Cricetulus griseus: one gene and its partner. The protein of the gene in region 2 interacts with the protein of the main gene of each other region in a pairwise test. Links are inferred from orthologs where the notes say so. Each region holds a gene or a part of one and is shown on either strand. Other genes may lie near its edges.

Evidence for each region.
Region 1: the proteins of Abl1 (region 2) and Msh5 interact in binary tests that used the Homo sapiens proteins (3 or more experiments, as listed by UniProt). The link is inferred for Cricetulus griseus from reciprocal best matches to the Homo sapiens genes ABL1 and MSH5.

What each region holds. Positions count from the first base shown.
Region 1 is NW_023276806.1:231,562,474-231,568,771, forward strand, and holds the start of Msh5 (mutS protein homolog 5), read right to left. Parts: upstream 4,111-6,298; 5' UTR 4,025-4,110; coding exon 3,740-4,024; intron 3,600-3,739; coding exon 3,476-3,599; intron 2,913-3,475; coding exon 2,832-2,912; intron 2,715-2,831; coding exon 2,652-2,714; intron 1,998-2,651; coding exon 1,876-1,997; intron 1,701-1,875; coding exon 1,591-1,700; intron 1,354-1,590; coding exon 1,318-1,353; intron 912-1,317; coding exon 887-911; intron 228-886; coding exon 101-227; intron 1-100.
Region 2 is NC_048599.1:143,503,111-143,508,702, forward strand, and holds part of Abl1 (tyrosine-protein kinase ABL1), read left to right. Parts: intron 1-2,122; coding exon 2,123-2,296; intron 2,297-2,889; coding exon 2,890-3,185; intron 3,186-5,592. UniProt on the Homo sapiens protein: Non-receptor tyrosine-protein kinase that plays a role in many key processes linked to cell growth and survival such as cytoskeleton remodeling in response to extracellular stimuli, cell motility and adhesion, receptor endocytosis, autophagy, DNA damage response and apoptosis.

The sequences.
Region 1 (6,298 bases), on a different chromosome or scaffold from region 2:
TGGCATTGACAGTAAGGCAAGAAGAGAGACTGCACACATCTGTAGTCAGCTGCGTTTCTAGCTGGGTTTCAGGGTGGGGTGACCAGCAGTTCACACCTACCAAAGAGGCTGAGCCCCTCCTTTAGCCCGCTGGCTACTTTGTAGACTGAGGGGTGAGCCTCACTCTTGAAGATCTGAAGAACGCTGTCACAGAGAAATGAAGACGTCTGGATGACCTTCTGTACAACCTACACATAGCATATGCATGTGTGTACATATGTATTTCTGTTTTTGAGACAGGGTTTCTCTATGTAGCCCTGGATGTCCTAGAACTCATGGTGTAGACTGGGCTGGCCTTGAATTTATAGAAATCCCCCTGCCTCTGCCTTCCAGGGCTGGGACTGAAGATGAGCCACCACACCTGCCTGTGCACACATGTTTTGCTGCAGGTGCGCATGCTCCCATGCACATGTGAGAAGCCAGAGGACATGGAAGTGGCTGTCTTCTGTCTCTCTGTCTTGTTCTATTTCAAGACAGGGTCTCTCATTGAACCCAGAGTTCCACATTTTCTTTGGCTAAGATGGCAGCCAGAGATGCCAAGCACTTACATAAAACTCAGATCCAAACTCAGATCCTCAAAGTTGAGTAACAAGAGCTTTTGCTCACTGAGCCCTGTTCCTACTTTAACCTTAATTTTTTAAAATAACAACAATAAAAGGAGTGGGGAACTGAGACAGGTTTTCTCTTGTACTGTGTATAGCCCTGTCTGTCCTGGAACTCACTATGTAGACCAGGCTGGCCCTGAACTCCCAGAGATCCACCTGTCTCTGCCTCCCCAGTGCTGGGATTAAAGGCATGCGCCTCCACCCCTGGCAATAATAATCTTGATGTGAGGGTTATTACTCACTTTTGGATTTGCCTCAGCTTCTCCCCTTAGGAAAAGGAAATGAAAGTCAGCCTGGTTTATATAGTAAGTTCCAGAACAGTGGGGCTATGTAGAGAGACCCAGTCTCAAAATACAAACACACACACACACACACAAAAAAAAAAAAAACAGGAAAGAAAGGAAACCAGCAGACTAGAGTTGTCACTTCAGGAGGCAGAATGCTTGCCTGGCAGGCACCAGCCCCTGGGGTCCATCCCCAACATTGCAAAAAGGAAAGGAAAGGGAGGTGATGCCTTTGTAGTCCCCCCCCCCAATCACGCTTTCCTTCCCTTCAAGGAGAGAGATCTTAGCAGCCCCAGGATTAGAGAGACTAGGCCTCATTAGGATTATTAGAGCATTAGGCTCAACCCGTGTGTTTCTGGAGGAGGCAGAGCAGTCTATCTGCACCTCACCTGTAAGTGTCTTGATCTATGCTCACCAGATGGGTCCTAAGAACAGAAAACAAGCCAAAGGGAAGGTGGCTGGGGAATGGCGGCTCACTACAAGCTCCACTGCCTTGATTCCTGTCTCAGTACTGTTTGATCTTCCCAGAGCAATACAATCCCCTGGTTCTCCCTCGTCCCAGCACACGTGTCCACTGTCCCCATCCCTCTCCCGTGTCCCAGCACGCGTGTCCAATCTCCTGGCTTACTCCTGAGACCTCCCAGTCCCTTTACATCACCTACAATACAAATTTCTTAAACCCCAGGATCGGGACGCTGACATTATAATCCTCCAGTTCCACCCCAACTCTTCTTCGACTCAGGAACTTGAGCAGTCCTCCAAGTGCCCGGACCTGGAAGGGGTCAGCAGTGGAGTTGGAATAAAGCCTAGGGTTCCAGAAGCTGGACAACACCAATATCAACAAAGACTGTCATTTTCCAGGGCTGGGGCAGTCCAGCCCAACTCAGCCTGGGACTGGGACTGTGAGCTCAGCCTTCCCCAGCCCAAACCCCAGTGACCTGGCTCACCGTGAGGACACAGTCAAAGGGAATAATGGAGGAGAGGAAAAGGATTTTCTCAGTGGCAGTCATGGACTCTGGGATGAATGAGTAGTTTCCAGAAAGGAGACGCTGCTTGCTTGTCTCTGGACCTATTTTGGGGAATAAGGAGAGGAAAAAAGTCTTATAAATCAACTTTCTTACCCCAACACAACAAGAGCAAAAGCAACCCAAGTCCACAGAGCTGGTTAAGGAAAGCTAACGCAAGAACCCACAGGTGCACACTGAGTCTGATTCTCTTCTTTGTGTAATATAGATGTCCGGCTATAAGCACAACCTGGGAAAGACAAATGATGTCTGGGATTGTAGATTTTCTAGATCAAAAAGATCTTATGATAAAAGAAAGAGTAGTCCTAATGTCCAGATATCTAATGAGGACAGAACATCCCCTGTCCTTTTTGTAAACCTGGGAGTTTGCCAAGTAGGAAGTGTCTTATGGATCATCTGGATCCCAGAAACAGTGCCCTTCCTTTTGATGCAATAAAACACTTTGGCTTAAAGGGGAACTCCAACATTCAAAGCTGTTTGAGAGGCATCATCACTCCATTTTCTCAGCAGGGGTGGGGGCATCCTAAGGTAACTAACCCAATGGCTTCTCAATTAGTTAGATTATTAATGATTGGGTGCAGGAGAGACCTTGGGGCACGGGAGGCACCTTCAGATGAGAACAGATGGGGAGGTCTCTGATAATGGGGTGAAATGAAGGGAAGAGACAGGGATGGGGTCAGGCAGTGTGAAGTAGTTACCGAAATCCACGCTGGGCAGAAGTATGATCTCAGGTTTCTTTGGCTGTCTGTGCTCCTGGGAGGCTGTGGAAGCAAAGGACCATGGTTTTGTACACTTCAGTCCTGTTGTCCCTTCCTGCATCTCGGAACGCCACACTTCAGTAGCCTCTTTCCATTTTCCCTTCTTCAGGCCATCCTTACCAAGCTTCCTCAGGAACCGAGTCATGGCCTCATCCTGTTTGGCACTTGTAATGACAGACTGGGGGTTGACTTCATCCAGAACTTGAAAAGAGAAGGGACCAAAGAGTCAAAGGAGCTCTACACATGGACAAAGAGGTAAGCGGCAGCTCTCTTCTTGCCACTGTTCCCCTAAAGAATTATTTTCTCAGCCAGGCATGGTGGTGCATGCCTCTCATTCTAGCACTAGGGAGACAGGCCAGTCTCTGAGTTGGAGGTCAGCGGGGCCTACATGGCAGGTTCCAGGACAGACAGAGCTGTCTCAAAAAACCAAAACCAAAATAAGAGAATTTATTTTCTGTCTGTTTGGGGAGTGCTCTGCACAGACTGGGAGCACAGTCTGGAATGAGATTTAGTAAAGTAGTAATATTGCAGGGGCGGGGGGAGGGGAAGAGGGGCGTTCTGGAAAATACCACTAGATTAAAGTCATGAGTGGTTTGCCAGGGACCAAATCTGCAGCGTTTAATATAGAGCAAGTAAGTACAATACAGTTGTGTTGGATAATTAATTCCCCGGAACAGGTGACTATAAAGTAGATTCAGTCACGTAAGGACGTATGCGTGACACAATTCCAAGCCCAGAGTCAGGAATCAAGGGTCGTGTCCCACCTCTCTGGAGAAGCTTCAGGCTCTGGTGGTCTGGGGCATCTGGCATGAAGTGGACAGTGGAGTCGCTAGTGTCATAGTAAGCAATGCCCAGATGTCCCGAACTCCACAGCACGCACAGGTGGATCTGCCCCATGAGGAAGGACACGAGATCAGTATCTGAACCCTCCTCCGAGACAGGCACCGGGCACCTAGTCAACCACCGAGACACAGGTTGGGCCCCGCCCTCCGCAGTCCTCCCGGCCCGCTCGCTCCTCCCTCCCACACCTCAGCCGGCTCCTCCTCCTCCTCGTCCTCGTCCTCCTCCTCAATAGTTCCAGGCCGGGGCACCGGGGCCTGTGGGCCGGGGAAGCCGGGTCCCCGCGGCGTCCTGCCCGGGGTGGCTCTGAAAGCCATGGGCTCGGCGACTCTGAGGACGTGGGAGGAGAAGCCACATTTCACCGGGTGGCTGGGCGGGGTGAAGCGCCCGTCGCGGCTCCCCGAGGGAGGCTTCTCCTTCGAGGGCGACTTCTTTAGGCTGCAAACAACCCCGTGCGACCGTCCCACCCTCATTTCTGTCACTCGTCAAATCTGTTCCTGCCACCCACGCCCCGGCAGCCACGGCCGCGCTCTTCCGTCCCCGCCCCACCCAGCGCCGCCACCTCGCGGCGCTTTCCCGCCTTTTCCGTCACCTCAGAGGCCACACTCCACCTCACTGGCCAACGGCCGCCAGCTGGGGGCAGGGCGAGCGTCTGGGGGCGGGGCGGGGGCGCGCTCGCCCCGCCCTCTCAGTCGCCATTGGCTGGAGGAGCCTGCCTAGCTATCCAATAGGAAGAGAGGGAGTACCGGGAGAAGCGCGGCGGAGTCTACTCGCTGATTGGTCTGTTTACAAGAGGGGCGGGGCCGGCGCGTTCAAAATTCCCGCCCTCTGCCGTTGCTAAGCAGCGGGAGGCCAGGGTTTCCGAGCTTTGACTGAGGCAGGGCGGCGCCCGCCCGCCCGCTCGCCGGCTCGCCCGCCAGCAGGTCGCTGTGCGAGCCCAAGTCGCAGCCCAGAAAAAGGGTCTGGGCGGTGGGGAGGCCGACCTTAAAGGGCCAGAGCATTTTTCCTCCTGCCCGGAGCGTGGCGAGAAGCACCATTAACCCGGCCCAGGCCAACGGCAGCCACTCTGTTCATATTTGCACCCACCGAGTTAATATTTACAAATATTTAACTATATTAAATACAATTTAACAGCTAATATTTGCAGAGCGGCGTCCAGCAAGCAGAGTAAGCGCTACACGAGTGTCTTAGGATAAATAAGTGGGAGTGACAGCCACCTGTCATTTCAACCCTACTTCTGCGCCCGCCATGCCCGGTCCCTGAAAGCGGGGCACGGCCACCCCCACACGAGCACCACGGGGCCTGATCCTTTCGGGACCTCTGAAGAGGAAGTGCGGTTTCTGGATGATTGACACAGCATTCCGAAAGCAGACATAATGACGACACGCAACGCCAGGCGTATCGGTTTATGCCCGACCCACAGCCCACTGACCAAAGGACACCGCGTATCATAACTCGTCCATGATAGAGCCGGGTGGGACAGAAGGAGTTTCTGAGGGAGAAAGAAAGAAATATAGCTTACGATAAACAAATAAATAAATAAAGCCTTTAAGTCTGGCTGGCTGGTCAGGGAAAATTGCCTTAAATTCCATCCCTAGGACTCACACGGCAGGAAAAAACTAACAAAATTGACCTCTGACCTCCACACCTGTGCTGTTTGTGCCCTTACACACACACACACTATAAGTACATAATTTAAAAACTGTCTCAGCAATCCTGAAATAAGAAGATCCTGCCTGCGGCCCAGGGAGATGGTGTGAGGTGACCTGGCTCTGCTGCCCAGTGACTGGAAAATCCTCTCCACAGGGGACGGTGGGGAGCAGAGCTAAGGGCTGGGTTAATGGTTACCCTTGGCAAATTGTTGAGCAATGGAGCTATGGAAACCTGGAGGGTGGTGAGAGCTCCGAGGAGTGGCAGGAGGGACACACCTTCCAATCTGGGCTGTGAAGAGATTAGGGACTGGTTACCAAGACAAGGCAGGCATTGGGCACAGGAAGAGAAGCCAGCTGAGGAAAGGGAGCTGGTGAACGAGAAAGAGCAGGGCCACAGAGATGAGATGGGAGCAAACAATTTCCTGATGCAGCCCTGGCTTCCAATCCGGGAGTCACCCCCTGGCGGCCCCGGGAGAGGGCGGCCTGAAATTTAGGCAGGGTAACTGGAGGGTGGCAATCCAGGCCGCCAGGCCGCCGCAGTCAATATTGATGATCAGGGCAGCTGCGGCTGTAAAGACAAGCAGGGGCAAGGCGGTCAAACCTGTTTGAGACCAACTAAAGCTTCTCCCTGTGGGATCGAGGTTGGGCAGACTCCCTGGTGGTCGCCTACCAGTGGGGAAAACGGAAGTCTGGGAAATAAGGCGTCTTTGAAATCACCTTGTTCATCAGTGGGGAAGGGTCCCTGAGCAGATTTTGAGGGTCAGCATGATGGGAACGCACACTTCTGGGATGTTCAAAGGTCCAAATACCAATAATACCCTGCCTTTCTGAGGAGAGAGATAATAAGCCTCCCCCCTCCCAGGGAGGAGAAAGCCCCTGGTAGAGGAAGCTAAGAGGAAGCCACTAACTGCTGGTTTCCACCAAGACAAGCACCGCTCACCCAGCCCTCCAATCCTCCAATCTCTCTCTCTCTCTCTCTCTCTCTCTCTCTCTCTCTCTCTCTCTCTTCTCTCTCTCTCTCTCTCTCTCTGTTTCCAGCCCAGTTTTGTTTCTAGGTCTTTCTAAGTGCAGCATGTTTTTCTCCAAACATCTTTT
Region 2 (5,592 bases):
ATGGGAAGTAGTTGTTTTTATGCAGTTAGAATGAGCATTTCAGGAAGACTCATAATGGCCAGAACTAAAAAATTGCTGGGGAATTAGGGGGAAGAAAACTTGCAACAGCCAGAATAGACCATGTGCATTAGAAAGATTCTGCAGCGGACCTCAGCCCTGGTCTCCAGGTTGAACTTATAGATGATTTTAGGCTCTAGTTTTAGCACTCAACTCCCACGGTCAGTCCTTGCTTGGAGCTAGCAAAACACATTAAGTGGAGAAGGGTGACATGTTGATAAAAAATTATTCTGGGGCTGGAGGAATGGCTCAGTGAGTTAGGAGCACTTGCTGTGAAAGCAAGAGGACCTGAGTTCAAGTACTCATCACCCATGGGAAGGCCAGGTATGGTTGCATGTGCCCAGAATCCCAGTGCTGTGATGGAGGTGAATGAGTCCTAGTAGCTCCTAGGCCCTAGCCAGCCAGCTTAGACAAAATAGTGAAATTTCAGGCTCAGTTAGAGTGTCCTGTACTGCCATGCCCTGCATTGCCATGCCTTCCAGATGAGATTGGTCTTCTCAGGAAAATCCCTTCTACAAATTGTTATCACAGAGGTGACTTAGACAGTTGGAGTACAGTTCAAGGATAACAAAGAGAAAAGGACAGGAAACTGTCTATGAGCAGTACCTGTCCCTAGTGCAAGCAGTGCTGGTCAGCTCCAGCCTCAGATGTGACAGACACACAAGGGAGGCTTTCTGATTTCAGAACATAAGAGACTGCTTGTTTAGGGCCCTCACAGGCTAAGAAACGTGTAATGATGGCTACATCTGAGTGGGAAGAGGAGCCAGAAGCCAGCAGGAAGGTGGATGGAGAGAAGAAGCAGTCTCATGGGGAACGGCTGCCTCAGAGCATAAGCAGAAGGGCAGTTTGAAGTAGAGGGTGGAGAGCTCTTAGGCCAGCATAGAGAGGGATGGAATAAAAGGCTTAGTTATTTATGTCAACACTGATATATGTAAGTGTTAAAGCTAGCTGTGGGGGCACAAACTTGTCATCCCAGCACCTGGGAGGATGAACTAGGAATGTAAGGTTACGTGAAACCTTGTCTCAAAAAGAAAAGCTGCTTTAAAGAATGTGCATTCCATGTTGTAAGCGGTGGCTACTGTTGAGGTGGGTTATGTCTATTTCTGAGAAAATACATATTGAATTAATGAATTTACTTTATTACATTTATTTGGTGTGTGTGCATATGCCATGGCGTGCATATAGAGGCCAGAGAACAGCTTGCAGGAGTTAATCCTCTCCAACCAACACTTGAGTCCTAGGGACCCAACTTAGTTTGTCAGATTTGGCAGCCACTGCTTCTACCTGCTGAGCCATCTTGCCTGCCTGAATGAATGCACTTAAAGACTTACACTATTTGGGAACAGGAATGCCTTTGTTTCTTTTCTACTGCTGTGACAGAACACCGAGAACAAGTCAACTCATTAAAAAATGTTTGATTGGGGCTTATGGTTCTAGAGGTCATAGTCTATGACCATCATGATAGGGAGAGTGGCAGCAGGCACAAGGCTGGAGCAGTAGCTGAGAGCTCACATCCTGATCTGGAAGTAGGAGGCAGAGCTAACCTCAAATGAAGCCACACCTCCTAACCCTCCCCAAATAGTTCCATTAATGTGAGCATTCAAATATGTGAGTATGTGGGGCCCATTCTTACTTAATTCCCCACAGGGAATCATCAGTTAGAATGAGAATACTTCATGCCTTTCATAATACTTGATAAAGACAACTGAAAATTTTAATACATAGAATATATGGATGTAGCCAGGTGGTGGTGGCACATGCCTTTAATCCCAGCACTCAGAAGGCAGAGGCAGGCCTCTATGAATTCAAGGCCAACCTGGTCTACAGAGTGAGTTCCAGGACAACCTGGGCTGTTACACAGAAACCCTGTTTCAATATAAATATATAATATATAATATATATATAAATTATATATATGTTAAGCCATGAAAACCATATATATAAGCCATATATATATGTGTGTGTGTGTGTGTGTGTGTGTGTGTGTGTGTGTGTGTGTGTGTTAAGCCATGAAAAATTCAGCTCATGTCTCCCAAATTTCATTTGCCTTTTTCTTGTCTTACAGAAGCCTTGCAGAGGCCAGTGGCATCTGACTTTGAGCCCCAGAGTCTCAGTGAAGCAGCTCGATGGAACTCCAAGGAAAACCTTCTTGCTGGGCCCAGTGAAAATGACCCCAACCTTTTTGTGGCACTATATGATTTTGTGGCCAGTGGAGATAACACTCTCAGCATCACTAAAGGTAACAGGGAAACAGCAAGCAAGGGTCGGGGTGTGTGGTTTGGCTGGCCTGCCCTTTGCTTCCTGAGAGGGCAGAGATGCCTACAAAGCACAGTGCCCACCCTTAGGAGACTCAGGGGCAGCAGTCCTGTGCACATGATTCCCCATGTTCCTATAGAAGAGGACACCTGACGCCTTTAATCCCAGCACTCGGGAGGCAGAGGCAGGCGGATCTCTGTGAGTTCGAGGCCAGCCTGGTCTCCAGAGCGAGTGCCACGATAGGCCCCAAAGCTACACACAGAAACCCTGTCTCAAAAAACCAAAAAAAAAAAAAAAAAAAAAAAAAAAAAAGAAGAAGAGGACACCTGGATCTCAGGCTGAAAGCATGGAGTTTTGTTACTGTTTTTTATCACCAAGTAAAAGCATTTTTCCTTAAAAAGTTTCCTTGCAGTAGCAACAGAACTTTTGATCAAATTTGTATAATCTTAGATGCCAAGGCAGAGTTGTCCTCTGTACACTCATGACTAACAGGAAAATGAGATATGCTAGAGAAAGGTTACAAAGAAGAAAGGCAGTCATCAAAACTGATACATTTATTTGGTTCTTTTCTCTAAGGTGAAAAGCTCCGGGTCTTAGGTTATAATCACAATGGGGAATGGTGTGAAGCCCAAACGAAAAATGGCCAAGGATGGGTACCAAGCAACTACATCACCCCTGTCAACAGTCTGGAGAAACATTCCTGGTATCATGGGCCTGTGTCCCGAAATGCCGCTGAGTATCTGCTGAGCAGTGGGATCAACGGCAGCTTCTTGGTGCGGGAGAGTGAGAGTAGTCCTGGCCAGAGGTCCATCTCCCTGAGATATGAAGGGAGGGTATACCACTACAGGATCAACACCGCCTCTGATGGCAAGGTGGGTAACCACCCTGGACTGGGACCAGCAGTGAGCTGATGGGCTGTGGGGGACATACAGGGGAACATATATGGTAGCCTAGGCCATTGAATTATGTCAGTAGGCTCAATCAGAATGTCTCAAGCAGGCTGAATTACAGGCTTCAAAGTACTGAATTACAAAGTACTTTGAATCAGTACTTCAAAGCTATCCTTGGCTACATAGTAAGTTCAGGGCCAGCCTGGGCCACATAAAGACCTTGTTTCAAACAATCAAACCAGACAGTGTCTCAGGGCCAGCCTGGGCCACATAAAGACCTTGTTTCAAACAATCAAACCAGACAGTGTCTCAGGAATCTTCTAAGTAAACAGAAGACATTTTCATTAGCTTCACAAAAGACCATTGGTTGCCAGCCACTGTCAGCTGATATCACAGGTCCTGGGTCTTGGTGTGTAGGATTCTCTGAAAAACCACAGGAATGCTGTTGGGTCTCAGATGTAAGTTCTTATGTTAAGACTCTTCCTTTTCATAAATTCTTTGTGTTTGTTCTTTGATTTTTTTTGATACAGTCTCTGTATTTTGTAGCCCTGGCCATCCTGGAAGTTACTCTGTAGACCAGACTGGTCTCAAACTCACAGAGATCTGCCTGCCTCTGCCTCCCAAGTGCTGGAATTAAAGGCGTGCGCCAACATAGCTCAGCAGCCCTTTTTGTAAACTTTTATAGTGATGATGATTGATCTTTAGTCAGAGAAATTCAAGCAGTAGTCATTCATTATGTGTAAAGCTACAGGCCCCATAACAGCACCTCCTTGACCTGACAACCAATGTTCTTCCTGTGGTAAAGTGTGGGTGTAGACACATATAAATGCACTCAGATTTTAACAGAAGTCACATCAAAGTACACCAATTGGCCTCCCTGTAAGCACAAAGTGTGTTTTGTAATCTTTGCATAAACATTGCTCCTTAAATGTCCACAAAGAGATGGGAAAAATCCAATTACTGAGGCTTAATCAGTGCTAGTGTCTTGGAGTTCCTCTCTTTAACCCTCACCTCCACCCCTGGAGGCTACTGATGCCATCTGTATTTTTGTATCAGTAAGAGGGGGGCTTAGAGGGACAAGACTTCTAGTTCAAGATTTTCATATAGGGAGTAATTGGTAGCACCAGGCTGGGGCCCCCCTCTTCACAGTGCCAGGTTCTGTTAGAGGACAGCTTTGATAGGCAGATTGCATAGTAAAGATGGCATTCTGTTGCTGTGAAGAGACACCATGACCAAGGCAGCTCTTCCAAAGGAAACCTTTAATTGGTGTCTTGCTTACAGTTTCAGAAGCTTAGTTTACTAGCATCATGGTGGTGATGCTTAGGAGAAGGAAGCTTGGTGGCAGGCAGGCGGGTGCTGGAGAAATAGCTGAGGGCTACATCCTGATCTGTAGGCCAAGTCAGAGAGGCTGGGCCTTGCATGGGCTTTTGAGACCTCGAAGCCCACTCCTAGTGAGGCAGTCCATTCAAAAGAGCCTAATCCTTTCAAATAGTGCCACTCACCACTCCCTGGTGACTAAGCATTCAAACTAATGAGCCTATGGAGACCATTCTTATTCAAGCTACCACAGCATCTAAACTATTTTGGGGGAGCCTGACTCCATGGTATAAAGCCATGCATATGACCTGTGTTCTGTTGTTGTTTGCTGCAGCTTCGGGCGATGAAACAGAACCACACAACTCAACAAACCCACATGGAGTTTATTGGGAAAGAGAGCGGTTTAGAAGGAGGCTCAGTAGTTGGGGCGGTTGAAATTGGAGTCATGGAGCTGGCATTGGCCCAGTTCACCCGGTTTCTGTGTACAGAGTCCTTATGCAGCCACTTAAAGCAAGCACAAATGAGGTAGCCATGCCACACAGGGCCCTTTGAGCTGTCTAAGTATCTGCCTAAAGGCTGGTTGCATACCCTGCCAGTTGTCAAGGGGCAGGGTCAGCATAATGCCAGGATACCAACAGGTTCTATCTGCAGAACTACAGTTAATGCATGTCTTTGTTTTGTTTTGTTTTGTTTTGTTCGTTTTTAGAGACCGGGTTTCTCTGTGTAGCCTTGGCTGTCCTGGGACTCACTGCAGACCAGGCTGGCCTCATACTCATGGAGATCCACCTGCCTCTGCCTCCCAGTACTGGGATTAAAGGCGTGCACCACCACCACTTAGCTGATGCATATACATTTTACACACACACACACACACACACACACACACACACACACACACACACTTAATTTGTTTTTGAGAGAAGATCTTGATATTTAGTTCTGGCTTGCCTGGAATTCACTGTGAAGTCCAGATTAGCCTTAAACTTGTGGCCACACTCCAGCCTTTGCCTCCTGACTGCTGGAATTAAGTGTGCACTACCACACACAGCCTTGTTTCATATTTGTATGTAAT